5 linked regions of the Rattus norvegicus genome follow. The protein of the gene in region 3 purifies or fractionates together with the protein of the main gene of each other region. This does not show direct contact. Links are inferred from orthologs where the notes say so. Each region holds a gene or a part of one and is shown on either strand. Other genes may lie near its edges. The genes, in order: Lsm2, Tut1, Sart3, Ppih and Lsm8.

Region 1 (4,642 bases), on a different chromosome or scaffold from region 3:
TCCTTCCCCTTTACTGTATCTCACCTGGTCCACAGAGTGCAGGGTTCCACAGATGCTGTGGGAGCAAAGAGGAGAGAAGCATTCATTTATGCTGGAATCAGCAGAGGGAAAATCAGAACTACAGTGACAAGGGGGGAGGAACTCTAGGCCCTGAAGCCAGCAGGCAGCCCCTGTAAGTTCTGAGGTGGAAATGATAAAGCACCTCAGACTCAGTCTGTCCTCACACCAACACATCAGAAGCTCGTAGTCAGGCCGGGCCTATGCTCCATTTAATATTAGTATTTCCACTTTAAGACAGGTTCTCACTTGGCCCAGGCTGGCCTCCAACTTCTGGCATTCCTACCTCCACTTCTGAAGTTCTAGAACTACAGCTAGGAGCACTACTCATGGCCATTGCCCACTGGGTTTCCCTGTGGGGTTCTAGAACTAGCTCTGTAGATAAGGCAGGCTTCAAACTCCCCCCTGCCCCTGCCCTTGCCCCTGCCTCCTGAGGGCTAGGTTTAAAGGTTTAAGGGATGAACAGCCATCAACCACTCAGCTAATCACCTTTCAAAGTAGTATCATCCAGGACTTATGAGAGGTCATGTAAGGTACCAAAACTTACACAAATGAACTGGAATGTCAGCCCTGATCTGCACGACTCCCAGAAACATCCATTATTTTTAAATACTGATTTTTACTATTTGTGTGTATGTGCATGTAGTTACCCACAGAGACCAGAAGAGGGCATCAGATCCATTGAAGCCAGAGTTCTAAGGAGTTGTATTCAGCCCAACAAACTGTTGTCAATCACCTAATGTAGCTGCCGGGAACTGAACTCTATTTCTCTGGAAGAGCAGCAAGCTCTTTTTAAAGCACCAAGCCATCTCTGCAGCTCCAATAGCTGTTACTTGTAAACATTTATGCTTTGGAGCCAGAGACCTACATATACATGGCAGCTGAAATTAACTATTATTAATGCTACACTCCCCCACCCTCTAGTCCTGAGTACAGTTATCAAAGCCACTGCTCCCACACCATGTTACCCATCTTATATTTACCCACTGCACGGAGGTGCAGAGGAATTAAAATTTTAATTAACAACCCCAGATCCTGCATTTTACTTCTTCACTCTCTACATTCTACGAACCCCCACTGCTCTGTGGAAGAACACTTGTGTGGTCTGACTTTTAGACTAGAAAAAGTCTTAGCTACTCTCCACCCCGGCCTGGGCCAGCCTCTCACTTGCCCACACTGGCCATAACCATCCTGCTTGTCAACACCACGTTCTGTCTTAGAATCAAGGCTCTCAAGCACTGACCTGTGCTCAAAGGTTTCAAGAGTCTACAAATAAAAGGATTTTAAAAAGAAACACGAGGGCTGGAAATGAAGTTCACCTGTTGAGCATGCCCATCCAGTACATGAAAAAAAAAATAGACATCAGTGACACCTATAATTTTCTAAGCACTATTAAGAAAGTAGACTCTAGAATTAGGGATTTAGCTCAGTGGTAGAGCGCTTGCCTAGCAAGCGCAAGGCCCTGGGTTCAGTACCCAGCCCCGAACAAAAGAAAAGAAAAAAGAAAGAAAGAAAGAAAGAAAGAAAGAAAGAAAGAAAGAAAGAAAGTAAGTAGACTCTAGGGGCTGGAGAGATGGCTCAATGGTTAAGAGCACTGACTGCTCTTCCAGAGGTCCAGAGTTCAATCCCAGCAACCACATGGTGGCTCACAACCAACTATAATGAGATCTGATGCCCTCTTTTGGTGTTTCTGAAGTCAGCTACAATGTACTTATGTATAATAAACAAACAAACAAACAAAAAAAGAAAGTAGACTCTAATGGATGATGTGACAAGAAGCCATAAACATCTTTCCAGTGATACAGCATTTAATCCACTCCTGAATGGTTAAGAGCAAATGATACAGCAGGGCAAATCCTAGCACTCAGGAGACAGAGGCAGGCGGATCTGTGTGTTCCGGGACATCCAGGACTGCACATACATGTTACTTAACTGTATCTCACTGTGTAACTCTGGCTGGCCCTGGACATATGTAGACCAAACTGTCCTTGAATTCACAATTCTGCATCAGCGTTGGGATTACACGCATGTGCCACAGCACCAGGCTCACTCTTAAACTAATCTTTACACTCAAGACACAAGATATTTCTTCTGTGTTTTGCCCCTCTGCTCTAAAATAGCTTTGTGAACAACAACCACGAAAACGATCAGGACACCAGGCACCTCCCACCTTCCACCAACTCGCTGAAATAAAGACCTACCTCAGATCATTCTTGAGTTCCACGACTACATCCTTGCCCACAAGGGACTTGAAAAAGGAGTAGAAGAGCTATTGGAAAAGAGGGAGGAACTATCACATGAAAAGGGACAGGGAGGAGGAACCCGTGACGGCATTTGAAATACCAGTCCTTTTGGCCCCACCTAGTAGTTCTCAAAATTTCACCACCATCAACAATCCGTTAACAGAGACTGCAATTCCTGGGGCCACAGAGAGACAATAACTGCGCTGCACCCCTCGATGCCAGAACCCACTCTCCGAATCGACCACCTCCCTGCTCGAGACCGCTTCCCAACCGCACCCTCACAAAATCCTGATCTCCAGCACGGAAATGCAAGACTAGCTTTCCGTTCTCCCCCGGCGCCCGTGGGCTTTCTCTTGGACTTGCTGGAAGTTTCCCCAAAAAAACCATTGGTTCCAAGCAGTCTCCTCACACAGGGTGTGGGCCCTGAGGTTGTAAGGAAAACCCTAGGGCTTAGCTACAGCCCAAGGCAACAAACACTAGAGCGCAACCAAGACCCGAACAGTTCGAACCGCCCGCCGCGGGCGGCGGCGCTCCCTTTTGACGTCACGGTACCCACCATGGTGCTGGCGCCACGAGGGGCGGCCTGGACCGCGAAGGAAGGCGCCGGGGACTGCGGGCCGGAGGCAGGGCGGGAGCCGGAGCACGAGCCCGCGCGTGAGGCAGGACAGGATCACGCAGGCGCAAGGGGAACCGCGAAAACCGCGGCTGAATCTGGGCTCAAAGGGAGCGGAGTAGGGCAGAGCAGAGAGGACCGCCAAACCGGGAGGAGGGCGGGACTTCCTGTCTCCCACTTCCTCCCAAGGAACTCCTCCCTCCCGAGCGCGTGCGTGGGCCATAGCAGCTGCGCGTTGGATGTAGTTCGCCTCCCTGATAATTTTTTAGATTCTTCTCTGTGCCGGGTGACTTGCTCATACTCTACGCTTTCTACTGAGAATTATTGGGAAGATTGAGAAAATTATGACTTGCATATTCTTTTAAAAAAGATTGAGTTATTATATATAAGTACATTGTAGCTGTCTTCTGACACACCAGGAGAGGGCATCAGATCCCATTACAGATGGTTGTGAGCCACCGTGTGGTTTCTGGGATTTGAACACAGGACCTCTGGAAGAGCAGTCAGTGCTCTTAACCGCTGAGCCATCTCTCCAGCCGTATTATTTTTACTAGTAATTAAATGGGAAGTTGCTAGGTTATAGCTTCTGTAGATATCATGTCTGGATAAATAGGAAAACACTTGCTATTTTGTCTTCTCGAGGCTGGCTGTTGGTGCAAGGCAGTCATGGTACACAGGTGAGAATTCTGAGAGACTAGGCCTGCTGATTGCATGATACCAAAAAAGTCGGTTTCCTGGGGGTCTGGGTGAAGCTTGGAGCATGCCTGCCTGTGTAGGCCAGAGATGAATGCTGGCTGTTCTTTCCACTTACTTAATATTTTAAAATTTTATATGTGTGAGTTTTTCCTTGCACGTATATCTGTGTACCACATGTGCAGTGTTCCCAGACACTAAAAGAGTGTGTTGGATCCTCTGGAGTTATAGTTGTTAGCCACCATACGGGTGCTGGGAATCAAACCCTGGTCCTGCCGAAGAGCAACATATGTCCTTAACGACTTAGCCATCTCATTTTCTGAGACAGGATCTGCCACTGATCCTGGAATGGACAGGTTCATTCAGCTAGACTGACTTGCCAGCAAGACCCTAAGATGTGTCTTCCCTCTCTGTCCTACCTACCCCACTCCACCTGTGCACATCACTGTGTTCAGAGCTGGATCCATCATGATTACCAAGCAAGATGTTACCGAGTTTCAACAGAAACTTTAACACCTGAATCTAAAAGAGGCTGTCACTGGTTAGAAGCAGTCAGTACATTTAGCAGCTGCTTCCTATGGGCTCAGGGTGCCTGAGAATTAGAAAATATTTTTCCTGGCAGGTGTAACGTTCTGTAATTCCAGTCATGTAGGCAGCATGAACGAAAGACATTTGAGGCAGACCTGCCTCAAAACCAAAAAAAAAATTGTTGGATATGCTCAACTTACACAAATTCAAGTACTTTGCCCTTATCAAGTTAAACACTCACAATGGACTCACAAACAGAAAATGCACGTCCATGGGCTGGAGAGGTGGCTCAGCGTTTAAGAGAGCTGACTGCTCTTCCAGAGGTCTTGAGTTCAATTCCCGGCAACCACACGGTGGCTCACAACCATCTGTAATGTGATCCGATGCACTCTTCTGGTGTGTGTGAAGACAGCTACAGTGTACTCATATATAATAAATAAATCTTTAAAAAAAGAAAATGCATGTTCTCTGTGAGCTCTCCTTTCCTCATTCTCAAGGAACATGGACA
Region 2 (4,545 bases), on a different chromosome or scaffold from region 3:
TTTTTTTTTTTTTTTTTTGGAGCTGGGGACCAAACCCAGGGCCTTGCGCTTCCTAGGTAAGCACTCTACCACTGAGCTAAATCCCCAGCCCCTCTAGCTGACTCTTTTAACAATAAGAATCCATGGCAGGGGCCTAGCAAGCCCAAGGCCCTGGGTTCGGTCCCCAGCTCCGAAAAAAGGAAAAAAAAAAAAAAAAAAAAAAAAAGAATCCATGGCAGGGAGAGTTCCTATGTGGAATTCTAGAGAAATCACTCACTGATTAAGAACACTTGGTGTGGGGCTGGAGCGATGGCTCAGTGGTTAAGAGCACTGACTGCTCTTCCCGAGGTCCTGAATTCAAATCCCAGCATCTACATGGTGGCTCTCAATCATCTGTAATGGGATCTGATGCCCTCTTCTGGTGTGTCTGAAGACAGCTACAGTGTACTTATATATAATAAATAAATCTTTAAAAACAAAACAAACAAACAAAAAAATAGTTGGTGCTCTTTCGAGGGACTGGAATTCAGTTCCCAACACTCATATCAAACAGTAGTTTGCAACCACCTGTAACTCCCGCTCCATACAGTCCAACGTCCTCTTCTGGCATACACATACACATGGCCACATACTGACACCCCCACACAAATATTAAAATAATAATTCATGTCAGGGTAAAGTGCTTTCCTCCAAACCTGACCCTGATTTCAATCCCCTGAACACTAATATGACAACAGAATCCCAAACGTTGTTCTCGGACCCCCATATTTACACCATTGACCATGCATGTGCACACATATTTTAAAAGAATACATGTTAGGCTCAAAATGCAGCTCACTGATAGAGTTGTGTGCATAAAACCTTGGAATTTTTTTAAGCCTTAGCACCAAAACATAATTAAAAAAAAAAAGAAAGGGTTGGGGACTTAGCTCAGTGGTAGAGCATTTGCCTAGCAAGCGTAAGGCCCTGGGTTCGGTCCCCAGCTCCAAAAAATAGAAAAGAAAAGAAAAGAAAAAAAAAAAAAAAAAAGAAAGAAAAACCTACCTGCTATTGCTAATATAAAACACACATACTCTAATAATAAGCCCTGTCTTCAAGAAACTTACTACCTAGGATTATATAATATTATATAATATATATGTGTGTGTGTGTGTGTGTGTGTGTGTGTGTGTATAGGTGTGTGTATATATTATATATATGAGCAGGAGCAAGGCAAATATGGCTGATTGTGGGTAAAATACAAGTTCATTTATGTCATCTGTTTCTATAAAGAGGCACTCTGCAAATAAGGACTGTAGTGTCAGCATAAAGACATTCAGATGAAGAAACTGATACCACTGAGAGGGCAAATGCCTTTAATTCCAGGACCAAGGAGGCAGAGCAGGTGAATCTCTGAATTCAAGGCCAGCCTGGTCTAGATAGCAAGTTCCCAGCCAGCCAGTTACATGGCAAAACCCATAGTTGCATGGTAAGTGCCCTGATACATACATACATACATACATACATACATACATACATACATGTTTGGTAAACAAGCTCCCCATAATTAATACTCGTGAATGAACATCCAAAGAGTGGAGATGTCAGAAGCTCACAAAACTGAAGCTACTCAATGTTCTGAAATGTCTACCAAGGACAAGCCAAAACGGACTGCTGGTTTCTCTCTGCATATGAAGCAAACCTGTCTGACACATTAATCCCAGAGCCATTCACTCTACCTTGTCCTTGTCCATAACAATATTGGCCACAGGGCCAAATGTCTGGAAGTATTCAGAGAGCTGAGCAGAGCCTACATCCCTGGGAAAGCCACTGACAAACACACTTCGAAGTCCCTGGGCCTTTCTGGTAGCTCGTAGTTGTACCAGATCCCGGTGCTTCCGGCCTTTCAAGTGGGCATCTAGGCTGGGTCCTGCAGAGACAATTGTCAGATATAAACATATAAAGTATCTCTTCCTGTACCTGTTCTCTTGCTCTGCTCCCTACATATGGAAATCTTCTGTTCCTTCAAAGACTGACAAAGGGTGATACTGGAACAGAGTTGTAACGCCTTCCACACTTGATATTCTTTCCCTTTTTCTACACTGCGTTCTGAAAGTGGTCTCAGTGAGAAAGGGCTAGAGTGCAGGTAGTTCTTAAGCTATCGATAAGCATTAAGTTGAGCGACATCTGTACATTGTAGAAATAACAAGTACCTTGTCCAAGGCCAAATATAGAAGAACTAAATAAATTAGGGTCCTGAATAATTCTCAGGAATAAAAAGTAGGTATTCCAAATGTATGGTTTTTCTCAGATATATGTTAGAAATGGTAATACCTAACACATAGGCATCATTCACATACAGCCTTCTGCTAAGTGTAGAAAATTAGCTATTAGTATTATTTTATCAGTCAGCTCCTTGATGCCATGGAAGTATGTAATGTGAACAAAGAAGGCTCCTAAGTTGCTGGCTTGCTCTAATGAGCAGAGTTGTTTGGGGTGATGAGGAGAGTGATTCACAAAGAAAACACCAGAAGGTCCTGTTTAGGGGAGATCACAATTACAGACATAAAAAGTAGGATCTGATGTGTCACTGAGCTGCTTACAATGTCACAGAATGATCTAGTCCACCTTCCAAACCTCGTTCCTCACTGGCATCTCCGGCACTCATTCAGGCCATGCTGTTTCACTCATCTCACTTCTGGAGAAATCTTCCACTAGGGAGTCTCCGATTTAATTACTGCTTTCTGTGATACCTCAGTTCTGTAAACATAACCTGGTGTACTGAAACTACCTCAGGCCAGGCAATGAGTTCCTAAATCCCCTTCCTACTCCGGAGACCAGCAAAGTACCAGAAACAGAAAAGGGATGACCAGTAGATGATTTTAAAGGGAATAATGAAACTTTCATTTTGGAGATTCTCCATAGTGGGAACGACAGGTCATATTTCCCCCACTCTCCGGTACCCTGGGATATGCTGAGTGAAAATAGGTGTTTGACCCTAACGCCAGCAAAAAAACAATAACAAACAAACCTAAATAACCCTAACTTTCACTAGCACCCGCCCCCCTCACTAGCCACCGCTTACGGTTGGCTGTAGTAACATCGCAGAGGCAGCAGCGAAAGCGGCCACGCGGCAGCGATACAACATCCGAATCCACCGCCGCCATAGCCACTCTCCGGTAGGGACCGCCTACAACCTATTCCGCAAGCACCGGAACACACAAGTAAAAATTGTAACGTGCTGGGAAGTAACTTCCGTCAATGCAGTAGGAAGTGACGTTATGTCCTACGCTACCCTATTCCTCCAGAAACCTCGTTCTTAGGGTTGAGAGTTCCTGCTCTAAAACTCTTCCAGGAAAAGCCGCCCCTCGACTTTGCTTATTGGCCTACAATTAGTGCTTCGTTTCACTCCAGCGTTGATTGGCCCGAAGAATCGTGAATATTCATTAAGCAACCACAAAGGCGCGCTTGCTTCTTGACAGCAGAGGTCCTCCTTTGCCAAGTGTTGGCGGGCGATCTGTACCTTCTTTTCACACAACTGCCCCCTCAATCTCTTATTTTACCCTGCTAATAGAAGCAGAGGGTGGGTGTTTCCAACCCTTTGCCTTGTGGAGCTCAGGGACTCTCACATCCTCAGGTCAGTTGCTTTCTCTGAAGCCGGATCCTTCTGCAAGACAAATGTTCTCCGCGCTGTCTGTCCCTGTCCCTCCCACCCCCATCAGCTGGATTCAATGAGGACAACCACAGATGGCTACGACCTCAGTCTGCCAGTTTCTTGCACAGATGTAGTTTGAATGAAGTATATTAACGAGGCCCATTTCAAGGCAGTACAATGAAGAACAGAATACAGTGACAAGAGAGAAACACATTCAAGGAGGTGGAGCGGGAAGTGTAGCAGATCTCCAATCGGAATGAGTCTTGTAGGTTCAAAAGCAGAAGAAAGTACGAAAGCTGAACACACAGGGATCGTAATGAAATGGAAGGGCTGTCAGGTGAGCTCAGCACCTTGTGCTGCGATTATCAGTCGCACAGTAGACCTTAGGCAGAAAACCAGTCTGCGACCTTGGTTGAATCACCAATGAGGCCTTGTGTCCCTCCTTATTGGACCCTGCTCAAGCATCTGATCCTTGTGTCAAACCAAAAGAGCAGACCAAACCAAAAAACGTAGAGACTACTGTACACTTAATGGCAGGGGCAGTTACTAAGGTTGGTCGTGCTAACCCTGAGGCAGCAGTCTATATACATACATACACCACTGAGCTTGAATTGCAGTCTTGCAGTACCACACCTAAACCACTAAGGTAGAATGCATCTGTTTTGTTTGCTTTCAAGAGTCTCTCCCTTTGTAGACTGGACGAGCCTCAGAACTCAGGGATCTGCCTTTGTCTGCCTCCCCATTGCTGAAATTAAAGGTGTGTGCCGACACCACCAGCACCTAGTGGGGTACATCTTACCCTGGTTGCTAGCATTTCCTAGAATGCCAAAATGAAAGAAAAGGCAAGGCTGAGGGAGTAGGTGGCTCAATAGTAGAGCCCTTGCCTAGCACACACCAGACCCTGGGATCAACTCCCCAGCATCAAAAGGGAG
Region 3 (4,339 bases):
TGAGCTCGCTCTCCAGCGTGCACCTTAGAAAGCCAGGCATGTGGCTCGCTAGCAATCCCAGAGCTGGGGAAGGAGATGGGGGGGGGGGGGTGTTCAGGAAAGGATGGACTCTGGCCTACGTATGCACACGTACACACAGAAACCCTTCCAAACAGTTCAAGTGATGAGCGAGTGTACACTCTGTTCTATCCTAGGCTCAGGCCATCATTAATGACATAAAAGGCTTAAAGAGGAGACTCAGGCAAAGCTACCTGGTCAAGACAGAGCACAAAGGATGCCACACACACAAGAAAGGCACAGCAGAGAGGGTACGGCTGGCCAATAGTGCAGAAGCCTTCACTTAACATGCATTATGCACCCAAATGGGCCACACTTACGGATGGGCCAATGTGAAAGTGCACATGACGTATACTGCCAATGCGAGAAGTGTGCACCACTGCACAGCCTGAACACATTTCCTCTTTAAGGGCAGGGAGAGCCAGTCTATCCCCCAGTTTCTGCTGAGTCAATGCAGTGAACCCCTGGGCATGGTAGCTAAAGGCTCCTAACTCTGCATGTGAGAGGCTGAGGCTAAGGCAGAAGATTGAGCCAGCCTAGGCTAGAGAGTGAGCGCCAGGTTAGCCTGAGCTACAAAGTCCTCTTGGAGCTGAAGAGATGGCTCAGCAACTGCAAACAAGCCCTACACTGTAACTTGGATCCTGGGGACCGCGATGAGGACGGAGAGGACTGACTCCTATAAACTGTCCTCTGACATGGCACAGGCGCACCTGTGTGAGCACCAAACAGAAGCCTGCATTCTAAAAGACAATAGCGCCTCTCAAAACAAAAGGATTCAGAACACTTAGTACTAAAAAGTAGGAATGATAACCACCTGCTCCAAAAGGCCTCTAATAATTAGACAAAGGGACAAGTGGGGCAAGCTAGAGCAACATTCTGTAACTGGAAAAGAATCAGTGCTATAAATGCAGGCCAATGCAATTATTGGTTAGAGGTTAGCCGATTGGCCTGTGTTACTCACCACAAATCACTGAGGGACCGCACCTCCAGGGGGGTATCTGGACCACAGATGACCATAAGAGATCAAGGCCCACTTGTGTGAATTCAGCCGAGTCAGATCCTACCATTTGCTGAGCCTCGTTTCCTCACGAGAACAGGCTTCATCTTTTTGGTCCCACTCCTCCATATCTTCTCCTTGTCCCATGAACAACTGGGGTGCACTAGATTTTGGTCTTCTGGCACAATGGTTTACAGCTGGGTTTGCCCAACAGGAGGCACTAGCAGAAGCATGGGGGGTGGGGGGAGACAGTATCAGGTCTCAGGTGCTACCTCCATGAATTTAAGGCTTTCCAAGTAACATAAGGCTCCCTTCACCCCTTCAGACCTAAGATAGACACCGAGTCCTGCTGTGACTGGCTACGGGAACAAAACTTGCATCCCTGGTTCCCCTGCCCACATTTATAAACAGTGACTATTCATGCATCTTTGCTCAAATTACTCTAACTTGACTTTATCACCTACCCCTGCTAGCACACTGGATTGTAAAGGAGCTATCGCCAATGACAGATCAGGGACCATTTTACTGCTAGGGACCGGGCAACTACGGCAACTTCACTAGGCAGGTGTCATGGGTTATCATAATTATGATAATCCCATTTTACAGGAGCTGTTGCTCCTAATTTACATCAGAAGCTGTTAAGAAAACAAAAAACAAAAAACAACAACAACAACAACAACAAAAAAAAAACTTGAGGACACATGAGTAGAAGAGCTATTACACAATCCCAGAAGGATTCTGGCTCAGCGATGAGGACCACTGGTTGCTCTTCCAGAAAACCCAGGTTTGAGTCCCAGCAACCCCAGAGCGGCTGACAACAGTCTGGTAATTACAGGTCCTGGAGACCTGATGCTTTCTTCTGGTCTCAGCTCACACACTCATGCAGGCAAAACACTCATACACATAAGATAAGAGGGAGTTAGTGGCTCCTGCCTAGCAGGGACGACAGAGGGAGGCAGACCTCTGTGAGCTCCAGGCCAACCCGGTCTACATAACGACTTCCAAGTCAGCCAAAGCTACATACTGAAATCCTGCCTCAAACCCCGCCCCCACCAAAACAAAAAACAAAAAAACAAACAAAACAAAACAAAAAAAAAAAAAAAAAAACGGGCTTCAGATCAAAAGCCTCAACCTCTGCGCTTCTACTACAGTCGCGGTCTATTTTCCGTTCTACACCACATTTGACCATTATTACTATCCCTAAAGGAAAATAAGTTCTCCTCCGACTGTCAGACGGCTAAACCTTATCTGGTTAAGAGTGGCAGTCCCGGGCTGGAGAGATGGATCAGCAGGTAAAGTCGTTTGCCGCCACACCTGATGACCAGAGTTCAATCCCCGGAACCCACATGGTTATGAGACAACCGCGTCCGGGCATGCATACAAACACAAGTTTAAAAATACAAAAAGGATAAGAGCCCTGATTGGGTTCAGCCTGAAAAGATAAACACTTTCAGCTGAGTGTCACCTTGGGCAGGAGCCTCAGTTTCCCAGTGAAACCGGATTAACACTACTTCCCCAACCATGAAGAGGATCCAATGGAATACTTTACGGAAGTTCTGGGCACCCACTGAGCTCGGGAACCGGGGACCCACGGTGGCTGACAGCGCCCTGGAGACCTCAGCGGTCTCCATAACCACGGAGGACCGAGGGGGCGGGCCGGGCCTGGGGACCCGAGGGAAGAGAACCCGCCGCCCACCCCGGCCCACCTGCTCCTCCAGCCGCTCGATCTCCAACTGGTTCTTCTCCTCCTCCTCGTCGTACTCCCACTCGTCCTCCCCGGCGGAGCTCTCGGCGGAGGAAGCCATGGCGGCGTCCTCCTCATCCCCATCGCTCTCGCTCACACCTTCCTGGTGCACCTCCCGCTCAGGGCCCTTGGCTTTGGCTGTCTCCGCGCTGGACAGCACCTTCCTGCCCACACCCGCCGGCTTCGCCTCATCCTCCTCTCCCTCAGCCTCAGGCCGGGCCTGGGGCTCAACCTCCGGCTCGGACGCCGAGGATGCAGTCGCCGTCGCCATCTTGCGCAGCCCGCGATTCTCGGGTCCTCCCTCGCCCGCCGAAGCCCGGCGAACATTAGGCTGTCCGTGGCGTCTGCCTGACCAAAACTCCGCTCGGCGCCAGCGGAAGTGGCACGAAGGGCCTCAGGGCGGAGGAAGCCGTGAAGACTCCACCACTGATATTATCCTTAGGCGTCTCTGGACGCCACTGTCAGGAAGAAAGGCTCACTAGCATAACCTGCGTCGGGCTACGACCTTGGACAGCTTTTGGGTCTTGGGACCGGAAGTGGCAGCCATACCGGCAGTTGTGTGTGCGTGATGGCCATAGTTAAGGTCCAGACGCCATCTTAGGAAGGTCAAAGTCATTTTTTTTTTTTTTTTTTTTTTTTTTTTTTTTTGGACTAAAGGATTTCTGCAAGGCTCAGCCCGCTCCAGTGCGTTGTTGTTTCGCAGCAACCGGCCCTCAGGTGCGGACAAAATTCCAGTTCCTCCGCGATACAATGCACCATTCACGAGAAAAGCCTATCTCTCAGTATAAAGCTCCCTCCCCTTTCTAGCACCTAGTATCTAACAGGTGTTAGACGCATCGATTTTGTGACTATATAGCCAATGCTAACACATTACAGTAAGTATCGTCTCGGGATGCAGTGGATTGTAAAACAAACATGTACATGTCGAGGAGGTATGGTGTTTGTTTCTTTTATACTCCTCGTTGTTGAGGTAGAAAAAAAAAAAAAGAACACTGCTGTTTTCCTCTGCACTGCCTTTCTCCTTCATCAGCAAGGTTAACGAGACAGGAATTGCTTTCCTCGGGACTCCCAGGAATTTTTTTTTTTTAGTGACACCTAGTGTACACTTGACATGTTATTTGCTCCGTAGATGAAACGGCTGCCTTTGAATTAGAAAAAAAAAAGCCTGAACCTGAACAGAGACTCATGCAAGCTCGAATCCCAAATAAGCCTGAGTCTGAGCATCCTCGGGCAAGTCAGGCCCGGCTTCCCACTTCTGGGCGGCCCCACGCCCATCGCAGCACCAGACAAACGTGACCGCAGCTTCAGACCTTCCCGCTCTGCGCCGCGTCCACGCCCCTTCCGGAGGCGTGACCAAAGAGACCGGCCGAAACGCGTGCACGCGCTTGGAGCGGAGAGCGCAAGCGCCAAGCAGCGGTGACGTCATACAAGCGCGCCCTCCCTTCGGCGTCGCAGAGGTCGACGCAGGTGCAAGCCGGCAAGATGGCGGCGGCTGGAGCGGGCCGTCTGAGGCGGGCGGCGTCCGCGCTGCTGCTCCGGAG
Region 4 (4,459 bases), on a different chromosome or scaffold from region 3:
ACCTGCTTCATTGGGAGGCCACACAGACAAGAATGTGTGGGCAGCACAGATTGGTCTTGATGAGCTGTAGAAAGGAGACCACCTTTTCTCTAGGGGTTGGAAGTCAGAACAGAACACCAAGGTGGATAGATTGGGCAGTCGAGTGGACTGGAAGGAAGTTCTCAAAGATGTAATAGAAAATTCAAATCAAAATTCATGTATTAGTGGGGTGTGATGGAGCAAGCCTGTAATTACAGTTATTTGGGAGGTGGAGGCAGGACAATCAGGAGTTCAAGGTTATCTGCTGGCCTATCAAGTTTGAGGGTAAACTGACCCTGATATAACATGAAATGCTATCTCAAAAGTTCCCAAACACCGAGAGCTATTCTCCCAGAGGACCCAGTGTCAATTCCCTACATCCATCTGTCTCAACTGTCTGTCATTCAAGTTCTGTCAATCTAGGGGATCTGACACCCTCTTATAGCCTCCAGGGGCACCAGACGGACAAACATAACACCACTACACATAAAAAAAATTTTTTAAGTCCCCAAATAAACACATACTTGAATAAGGACAATAAGAGATTAACTGGAAAGTGAAATTACTAGCACAAAGGTTTTAAAACCTGAAACTTTCTATATCAAATGAGCTAAAAGCTTGTGACAGAAATGAGTCTAGAAACCTATCCCATGGGCAAATACCAATCCCTGACACTATTAATGATACTACTCTATTATGCTTGCAGGCAGGAGCTTAGCATGGCTGTTCTCTGAGAGACACTCTACCCAGCAGCTGACTCAGAAGGATGCAGAGAACCATGGCCAAACATTGGATGGAGCTTGGGGACTCTTAAGGAAGAGTTGGGGGAAGTGTTGAGGGCCTCTGAGGGGATAGGAACTCCACAGGAAAACTAACGGTCAACTAACATTGATCTTTTGGGGCTCTCAGAGACGGAACCACCAGCCAAAGAACATACACAGGATGGACCTAGACACACACGCACACGCACACAGTGCAGATGTGCAGCTCAGTCTTCATGTGAGTCCAGAATAACTGGAGTAGAGGCTATCCCAAAAGATGCCTGGCTGTTTCTTCTAGCTGGGCTGCCTTGTCTGGACTCAGTGGGAGAGAGTGGGCCTAACCTACAGAGACTTGATGGGGGTGGGGGATAACCAGAGGAGATCTCTACCCTCTCAGAAGAAAAGGTAAAGAGGGAATGGGGGAGAAATTGTAGGAGGGGGTAACCAGGAGAGGGGGCAGCGATCTCGGGGTGTAAAGTGAATCGATTAAAAAATAAAAACATTTTACAATCATAAAAAAGAATGAAATTACATTTCCAGCATCGCGACTTCGTCAACCCTACATAACATACCATTTTAAAATATGGAATGTGACCCAGAGGGTCCTCCTCTCATGGGCTGTAACAGAGGACACCAAGTGTGACTGCTCGGGAAAAGCTGTCTGCAAAAGATTCATTTGTATTACGCTAATACAGTCAAGAGAGTGGAGAAGCCCATAGACTTTGATAAAGACGCCTGCGCTCCTTCCCGCAGCTCGGACCAACTCAGCTAAAATTCCCTCAGTACCTGCCACACTTCCGGGGCGGGGCGCAACCGCGGACTGTTTCCACTGCGTCTGCGTTTCCGATGAAGTTCGCGGGACCTGTCACCGGAAGTTAGGCTTCTACTTCCGAGTCAAAGCCATGGCGGTGGCAAATTCAAGTCCCGTCAATCCAGTGGTCTTCTTTGATGTCAGTATTGGCGGCCAGGTGAGATGCGGGCGGCCCAGCGGGCCTGTGCGGGCTGACTGGACTCGGGTAAAGGAGGCAGCCGAGGGGGCCCTTCTAGCCCTCCCGAGATAGGCTGGGTCAGGCGGTGGAGGTGGGAGCTTCCGAGCTGCATGGACAGCGGTCGTGGGCTGAGTATTGCATCTCCCGTTTCTTGCAGGAAGTTGGTCGCATGAAGATCGAGCTCTTTGCAGACGTGGTGCCTAAGACGGCAGAGAACTTTAGGTAAAGATATGTATGCTCCAAGTGAACCAGAGCTGAGCCCTCGGTTCAGTCTTTGCCTTGTCTGCCTCTGTTCATTTATTCATTGCCTTAGAGTAGTGCTCTGGGTATTGCACTGGCCAAATAGCTACCGACTTTGACCGATCCCATATCAACTTAAATCACTAGTCTACGTGCCCTGACATCTGCCCGATCAGTTAGTTAGTGGGCATGCTGGCCCCAGTGTTTGAACTCTCCTCTCCAGAGATTAGAGGTGCTCCAAGCAGTGATGGTACGGCGGCTGAATCGTTCACTGTTTCTTTCTTGATTTCTTTCTTTTTAGGCAGTTCTGCACTGGAGAATTCAGGTCAGTCTCAGATGTGTTTGACTTCTCCACCAACTCCTGAAGGGTGACCTGGACGTTTGGTGAGGGTATTGGAGAACCATGAACAGGTCTCTAGTAATGAAAGATGATATGCAGAGAGAAGATGACTCCTTGGATGTGTTCTTTATCTCTTCTCCCATCCAGATCTTAGTGAGAGTCCTCTTAGCCTCTCGTGCATCCTAAATGGGGAAGACCCACGTTTATTTTTCATCATTCCTAGTGTCTTCCTTTGTGTTTACAGAAAAGACGGCGTTCCGATAGGATACAAAGGAAGCACCTTCCACAGGTAAGGAAGGCTTTTGGCAAACTGGAAATGCAGTCATCTCTTGGTATCTGTACAGGCAGTCCTGTACACCTGAATCCAAAACCTGTGGAGGATTAAGTCTGTTGTTTAAATGGCATGTTCAGGGCTGAGGCTGTAGCTTGGTAGAGAATTTGCCCAGCATTCATAAGACCCTGGATTCGGTACTCAGCACCATGTAGTCTGTGCACAGTGCCTTAAGTCATGCCTGACTTTATGTCATATTGATTGTAGAAACAGTGCCAGGGAAAGCACTCTGTACCTACTCAGTACCTGTTCAGTACAGGAGCATGTCCACATGTTCCTAGAGATCTAAACTCAGATCCTTAGGCTGCACAGCAAGCACTTTACCCGCTGAACCCTCCCTGGTTCTGGGTTATGACTTAGCAGAGACTTTGCGGTAACCACTGTTACCAGGCAGTCGTCTGTAGGAACCTGACCTTCACGATCTCCTGGCTTTCTATGTTTACTTATGAGTTTGACAGAAGTTGCTCCATTTTAATCCTGAAAATGTCCATTGTCTCCCATATCAAGGGTTTTAGAGCTGCAGTCTGTAATCCTCCCCTGGCATTCTTGTGAGGTGTTATGATGTGTTTTCTGAATTCTGCAAGGTAGGGAAAAGAGGCTAAGCAAAGCTAAGGACCTGGGTACACTAGCTGACATCATCCTCGAGTTTCAGTGTGTGCAGCAGTCCATTCACGTTGTGTTCTCTTTCCCCAAAGTGAGGTGGTTTTTTGATGATGTTGTTTTGTTTTCCTTTGGTGACTGTAGGTGTGTCTCTGCCAGGTTTTCAGTTCCTTTCTGTTGTTGAGGTGCTGACTCATACACCTGAGGGCAACTTAAAAGGGGCCCCTGAGTTAAAACTGTTAATCCCTCAGCTGGCTCACCCCAGGGACAAAGACTTTCTCTAAGCCTCAGTGATAAACACTGAACTCCAGAAGACATGCTAATCTACCACTTCAGTGGCTGAACCACTGAATCTTCCCTCAGGATTTTTTTTAACTCTCTTTCAGGGTCATAAAGGATTTCATGATTCAGGGTGGAGATTTTGTTAATGTAAGTACTGCTTTTTTTCTTTGTTAATTTTTTTCCAGCAAGGCCCAGTCTTGAGATTTAAGAATAATAGCTAAGGGACGGAGAGATGGTCTAGCAGTTAAGAGTACTGACTGCTCTTCCACAGGTCCGGAGTTCAAATCTCAGCAACCACATGGTGGCTCACAACCCTCTGTAATGGGATCTGACGCCCTCTGTCAGTCACTATCTTGTTGCCTCATGACAAGGTTGCACTAGATGAAAAGCTGCTTGGTTCAGCTAGGACAGCTGGCTGGCTGGCTCCCCTTACCTGTGGACCATTCTCCCCGGCCTTATCATCTGGTTTCCAGGGTGCCCAACACTCCAGGCCACTGATGTGTCTCTTCTCTACTCAGGGCGATGGTACTGGAGTCGCCAGTATTTACCGGGGTCCATTTGCAGATGAAAATTTTAAACTTAGACACTCGGCTCCAGGCCTGCTTTCCATGGTAAGTGAGGTTCAGTTAAGATTTGGGGTTAGATTAGATTACTGACTGGTTTCTGGTGCCTTGACACCCAGTTCTGTCCCTTGGAATTAGGCCTCACCTGCACCTAGCCCCTCCTCCTTCCTCAGTGTGGTTTGATCTTGTTGGGTGGGCTTTCACAGCTGTAGAAAGCAGACTAAGCTCTGACTTGTGTTGTGCCTTTATATGTACCAAGACTGGGCTTTTGCCTCAGTGTTCAATGGGCTTCCACGGTTGGTGCTCACCTGTTGTTGCCCTGGTTGCCGTGAGTC
Region 5 (4,270 bases), on a different chromosome or scaffold from region 3:
ATGCATCACCTCTCCTTTCCTTCATCTTTGGAGACAGTTCTTTGGTTTGCCCATTTCAAATATAGCACCCAATGCTCCATAAAAATGATGGTTCAGGATCTATTTCCTGGATAGTACATAGCTCAGAGGCTGATTACAAAGTAAGTCCTCTACTTTGTTGTAAACAATGTTATGACAAACTAGTTAACACTTATAGTTAATATTTCATCTCCTTACTGCCAACACTGTGTCCTGTGTATATGTCTAACTGAATTCTATCAATACTATAGTAGATATATTAGAACTGAAATAATCAGAAACTTAAGTTGAAGAAAACAAGCAGGAAAAACTGTATGGATTTAGAAAAAGAAAGTATCATAGATGCTCTTCAAGTTTCTGAAGAAATAGCTTATTTTCAATTTAGCTGGTTAATCTCTTGGGTCTACCATTAAATTCTCATGTTACAAAAGCTATAATTATATAGAATCAGAATAAAATAAATAGAAACCTGGAGTCTAGAAACTGGAAAGAAAAACACGTTAGACTATTTACTATAGCAGTTAGTAAATGGTGGTTATCATAAACCCCCCCCCAAATCCTCTCACCTTCATTTTACACAAAACTATTTTATCAGACAACTTTGTGATAAAGATAGGAACTAATCAATGTCAATGCTTTTGTTCAGCTTTTCTTCTATAAACATTTTGTAACAGAAACAAGAAATTAAAACTAAAGGCTTTAAAAATCAACTATTTTCAAATTAGCTTTTAACATTAATAGACTTCCTAAGTGCCCATAGTTTACAAATATATAGACTATGATCTGACCACCACCACCCCCTCATAACAAACTACAAACAAAAAATCCTACATATTTGTTTCCTTTATTAAGAACAAGCAAAGGAAGTAACCTTGGTTTTGGAATTAAACACAATTTATGACACTATACAGTTCTGTCACTTGTCATACTGACTCTCTGGGAAAGTGACTTATTTTGTCTAAGCTAGATTCCTAATAACAAAAGTGGCAATTCTTCACAAGGCTGTAATGCAAACTAATTGATATACAAAATCCTTAACACATGATATGCATTTAGTCTATGTCATTTTGACTGGTATTGCTCATGGAAGAGAAGAGTCAAAAGGATGAAGAAGAAAATTAAGGAGCTGGAGAGATGGCTCGGTGGTTAAAAGTCCAAGTTCTTCCTAGCACCCACACACTGTGGCTCACTCTAGGTCTTGTGGTCTCCTTGTGTAGTGTATCCTCACACATATGGCAGACGCTCATAAACACACACACACACATGAGCAAAAACAAAATTAAATCTTTAAGAAAAAAAAACCAGAATGGAATAACATGGGATTAATTTACAGTCATGCAAGAAATATTTCAATCAGAAATGGTAGGTCGGCCAATGGTACCGAAGATTGTGCCACCAGTGAAGTCATAAATTTAAGTTTCCAAAACCACTTACTATATTCGGAAAAATGATGAAATCACTGAAAGCACATTTCCTCATCGATAAAGAACCAATTAGGGCACACACATGTAAACTGTTTAAGGTCTCTAAGTTAAAACAAACGAAACGGAATAGAAGGATGCAAGAAGAAAACAAATCAGTTTATCACACAGCTCTACCTTTCAGCTCAGGTCTTCAGGGTTGGCCAGAGAAGTTGGACAGGCAGCCAAGAGATGAAGTTAAATAGCTGAATCATAAGAACACCGGAATATTGGTACGCTGTGGTGTCTGAACATTGGGCCAGAAATGTTACCTCAAATGTACAAGCAATAAGCCTCAGGAAAGAGGAAAACGAAAATGTCACTCACCACGATCATTCTGCCATCAGAAGTTATTACTGCAACAGTTCCTGAGAACTGAGTCAAGGAAAGTATTTCCTAAATACAAACTGAAAACTTTTAGCCTAGAAAGGGAATGGTTCCAACTACTTAAAAAAGAGAAAGAATTAAGATTCAACAGAGTCACTGCTCGGAGGAATAAAACGTAAGTTTTTAAACTTGTTTCAACTGTACCTTGAAAACAGTTAATTAAACGATAGAGGGTATAGAATGTGACTGTTTGCCTCTGGTTTAAACAGCAATGTTTCCAACCTATGACACTGAGCAGGTTAGACTCACTTCTTAACCTTTAGAATAAAATTTAGATGGGAGCTAATCAATGTTGGATCTCTTTATGCATGGTAAGGCCCTTCTCATCCAATTAATGCCATCAAGTACCAATAATCCTTGCATCATTAAAACCTCTCTGTATTTAACTAGGGTTTCCTCTTTGAGCATATGCTAGGTGCAATGTTTTTGCCCTGACTTCAGAACAGCAATTCTATCTTAAAATCTCTGGGCTTTTTAAAAGCCATTCGTCACTCTCCAAACACCATCACAATACGATTTATTTTTATTCTACCGCATAGACATTTCAAGCGGAGGCATGGGACCCGAAATGCACATCTGAGGAGCATCTTCCTGTTCATGCTATCCCCGAACAAACAAGACTGTTAGGATCTACGAACTGGGAGTCCTTAGGACAACAGTTCACCTTAGTCCCAATGTTGGAACATATACAATCAACAGGCTACGTGCAGGAAAACTCTAACTACACCGAGATCTGTGCTGTGGGTGGAAAAAGCCACGGGTCCATCCGGGAGCTCCCTCCACGAATCCCGACCCCCGGTCCTCCACCCACTGCTCACTGCCCACCACTCCGGGCCCCCGTGTTCCCTCCCGCCCCCGCCGCGGCCTGAGCCGTCGCAGCGGCCCGCCCGAGGATACGGTTGATGTAGTTCTCCAAGGCAGACGTCATGCTGCTGGGCCCGGAGGTTCCGGGAATCTGAGAGGAATCAGCAACAAGGAGACAAAACACCGCCCGCTAGAAACACGTACAGATTCGCGCCCGCTGGCGAACGCAAATATCGCGAGACTCTGAGGCCTCAGCGGTGACGAATCAGTAAGAGAAAGGAGTCGGACAAACAGGAAACGGGGCGGTGCTGACTAGTGGGCATGCGCAGCGTGTTTCCGCTGGGCTTCCGGGTGGCGATCGGAAGGGGAGACAAAGGCGGGGACAGGCGGAAGTGTAGAGTTGTCACCGAAGGCGGACTGGAAGGAGACACTGGAGGGTTCTACCGGACGGGAAGGCACTGTGGTAGTTACTAAAGGTAGTGCGGAAAGACTCTTTCTGCCGGAAGACACACGAGATGAAGATGTTTCCATTGGCTAGAGTAGGAGAGAGATTCTTTGTTCTCATAGGCAATGTAGATGCAGGGTGCAAGGAGCTCTAGATTTCTCCAGCATGAGCCAAAAAAGTTTAAAAAGCCAAATAGCCCAGTACAAAGGGAGCATTTTGTAGCTCCACGATGTACATTTTCGGAGAAAACAACTGTATGAAAATATTTGTGTATTCTGAATTTGGCTCTTCGTGTCCTTAAACGAGCTTTTTTAAAAAACGAAAGCCAAATAGCTGAAGGTGCAGGAGCCTGCCTTAAGAAATGGATTTCATCGAAGTCTCGGGACTTAGCTTTCCTCAGGGTGAAGTTCAATAAATAAAGGCTACAGCCCCACTGTGAAGGGACTAATTGGAGAAAAGTGTAAACTAAGCACCGGGTTTGATTCTGATTCTGTCCCTCATTGCTGTCACTATTTTATGTCACTTCAACTCTGGACTTGAGTTTACTTAGTTCCTACTACAGAACTATTATTTTTCACATGTCTTGGTAAAAATAGGACTGACATTCTCCCTCATGCCTCGTGTGTGTGTGTGTGTGTGTGTGTGTGTGTGTGTGTGTGTGTGTGTGTGTGCAACTCACACTATGCAAGTCTTCCAAAGTCCTGTACCAATAAGTTATACCTCCAACCTCCCCCTACCCTGTCTGCTCCAATAATGTTTTATTTATTTATTTAATGGTGCTTTCACTTCAAAACTGGTTGTTAGGAATCTGCACAACTAATTATGGAAAAAAGCAATATTTCTTTTTGTTGTGGGTTTTAAAATCTTTCTTAGCTGAAGAATTATGGCTTTGGAGTGATTGAACTAGCTGTGCTTTGCTTTTAGTTAGAGACAGTGACAGTAATTACATCATCAAACTGTTGGGGAGCTAAAAGAATTCCTTTAAAGCTTGCCATACAAATTATACCTATTATAATTCAAGAAAATAGACTGCATCATAAAAAAAAAAGTTTTGTCACCCCGAAGCTTATTCTAACATTGTGTGTATTGTTATATTTTCTAATGGGACTAAAGGAATGGCACACATTTTAAGTGCTTTAAGAAAGGATGAGATGGC

What was found.
Region 1: the proteins of Sart3 (region 3) and Lsm2 purify together in Homo sapiens (affinity purification with mass spectrometry; 3 studies listed by BioGRID and IntAct, counting the BioPlex papers as one, with this or other methods). This does not show direct contact. The link is inferred for Rattus norvegicus from reciprocal best matches to the Homo sapiens genes SART3 and LSM2.
Region 2: the proteins of Sart3 (region 3) and Tut1 purify together in Homo sapiens (co-immunoprecipitation; 4 studies listed by BioGRID and IntAct, counting the BioPlex papers as one, with this or other methods). This does not show direct contact. The link is inferred for Rattus norvegicus from reciprocal best matches to the Homo sapiens genes SART3 and TUT1.
Region 4: the proteins of Sart3 (region 3) and Ppih purify together in Homo sapiens (affinity purification with mass spectrometry; 3 studies listed by BioGRID and IntAct, with this or other methods). This does not show direct contact. The link is inferred for Rattus norvegicus from reciprocal best matches to the Homo sapiens genes SART3 and PPIH.
Region 5: the proteins of Sart3 (region 3) and Lsm8 purify together in Homo sapiens (affinity purification with mass spectrometry; 4 studies listed by BioGRID and IntAct, counting the BioPlex papers as one, with this or other methods). This does not show direct contact. The link is inferred for Rattus norvegicus from reciprocal best matches to the Homo sapiens genes SART3 and LSM8.

What each region holds. Positions count from the first base shown.
Region 1 is NC_086038.1:3,848,807-3,853,448, forward strand, and holds the start of Lsm2 (U6 snRNA-associated Sm-like protein LSm2), read right to left. Parts: upstream 2,860-4,642; coding exon 2,857-2,859; intron 2,688-2,856; coding exon of another isoform or gene 2,577-2,687; intron 2,327-2,576; coding exon 2,259-2,326; intron 56-2,258; coding exon 25-55; intron 1-24. UniProt on the Homo sapiens protein: Plays a role in pre-mRNA splicing as component of the U4/U6-U5 tri-snRNP complex that is involved in spliceosome assembly, and as component of the precatalytic spliceosome (spliceosome B complex).
Region 2 is NC_086019.1:215,276,478-215,281,022, reverse strand, and holds the start of Tut1 (speckle targeted PIP5K1A-regulated poly(A) polymerase), read right to left. Parts: upstream 3,138-4,545; 5' UTR 3,126-3,137; coding exon 3,044-3,125; intron 3,038-3,043; exon of another isoform or gene 2,562-3,037; intron 2,542-2,561; exon of another isoform or gene 1,939-2,541; intron 1,889-1,938; coding exon 1,698-1,888; intron 1-1,697. UniProt on the Homo sapiens protein: Poly(A) polymerase that creates the 3'-poly(A) tail of specific pre-mRNAs. Localizes to nuclear speckles together with PIP5K1A and mediates polyadenylation of a select set of mRNAs, such as HMOX1.
Region 3 is NC_086030.1:48,518,597-48,522,935, reverse strand, and holds the start of Sart3 (squamous cell carcinoma antigen recognized by T-cells 3), read right to left. Parts: upstream 3,084-4,339; 5' UTR 3,070-3,083; coding exon 2,761-3,069; intron 1,275-2,760; exon of another isoform or gene 1,019-1,274; intron 1-1,018. Other genes in the region: iron-sulfur cluster assembly enzyme ISCU, read left to right, coding at 4,281-4,339. UniProt on the Homo sapiens protein: U6 snRNP-binding protein that functions as a recycling factor of the splicing machinery. Promotes the initial reassembly of U4 and U6 snRNPs following their ejection from the spliceosome during its maturation.
Region 4 is NC_086023.1:138,206,779-138,211,237, reverse strand, and holds the start of Ppih (peptidyl-prolyl cis-trans isomerase H), read left to right. Parts: upstream 1-1,657; 5' UTR 1,658-1,681; coding exon 1,682-1,747; intron 1,748-1,925; coding exon 1,926-1,990; intron 1,991-2,309; coding exon 2,310-2,333; intron 2,334-2,592; coding exon 2,593-2,637; intron 2,638-3,665; coding exon 3,666-3,708; intron 3,709-4,079; coding exon 4,080-4,172; intron 4,173-4,459. UniProt on the Homo sapiens protein: PPIase that catalyzes the cis-trans isomerization of proline imidic peptide bonds in oligopeptides and may therefore assist protein folding. Participates in pre-mRNA splicing.
Region 5 is NC_086022.1:48,270,794-48,275,063, reverse strand, and holds the start of Lsm8 (LSM8 homolog, U6 small nuclear RNA associated), read right to left. Parts: upstream 2,937-4,270; 5' UTR 2,794-2,936; coding exon 2,763-2,793; intron 1,847-2,762; coding exon 1,806-1,846; intron 1-1,805. UniProt on the Homo sapiens protein: Plays a role in pre-mRNA splicing as component of the U4/U6-U5 tri-snRNP complex that is involved in spliceosome assembly, and as component of the precatalytic spliceosome (spliceosome B complex).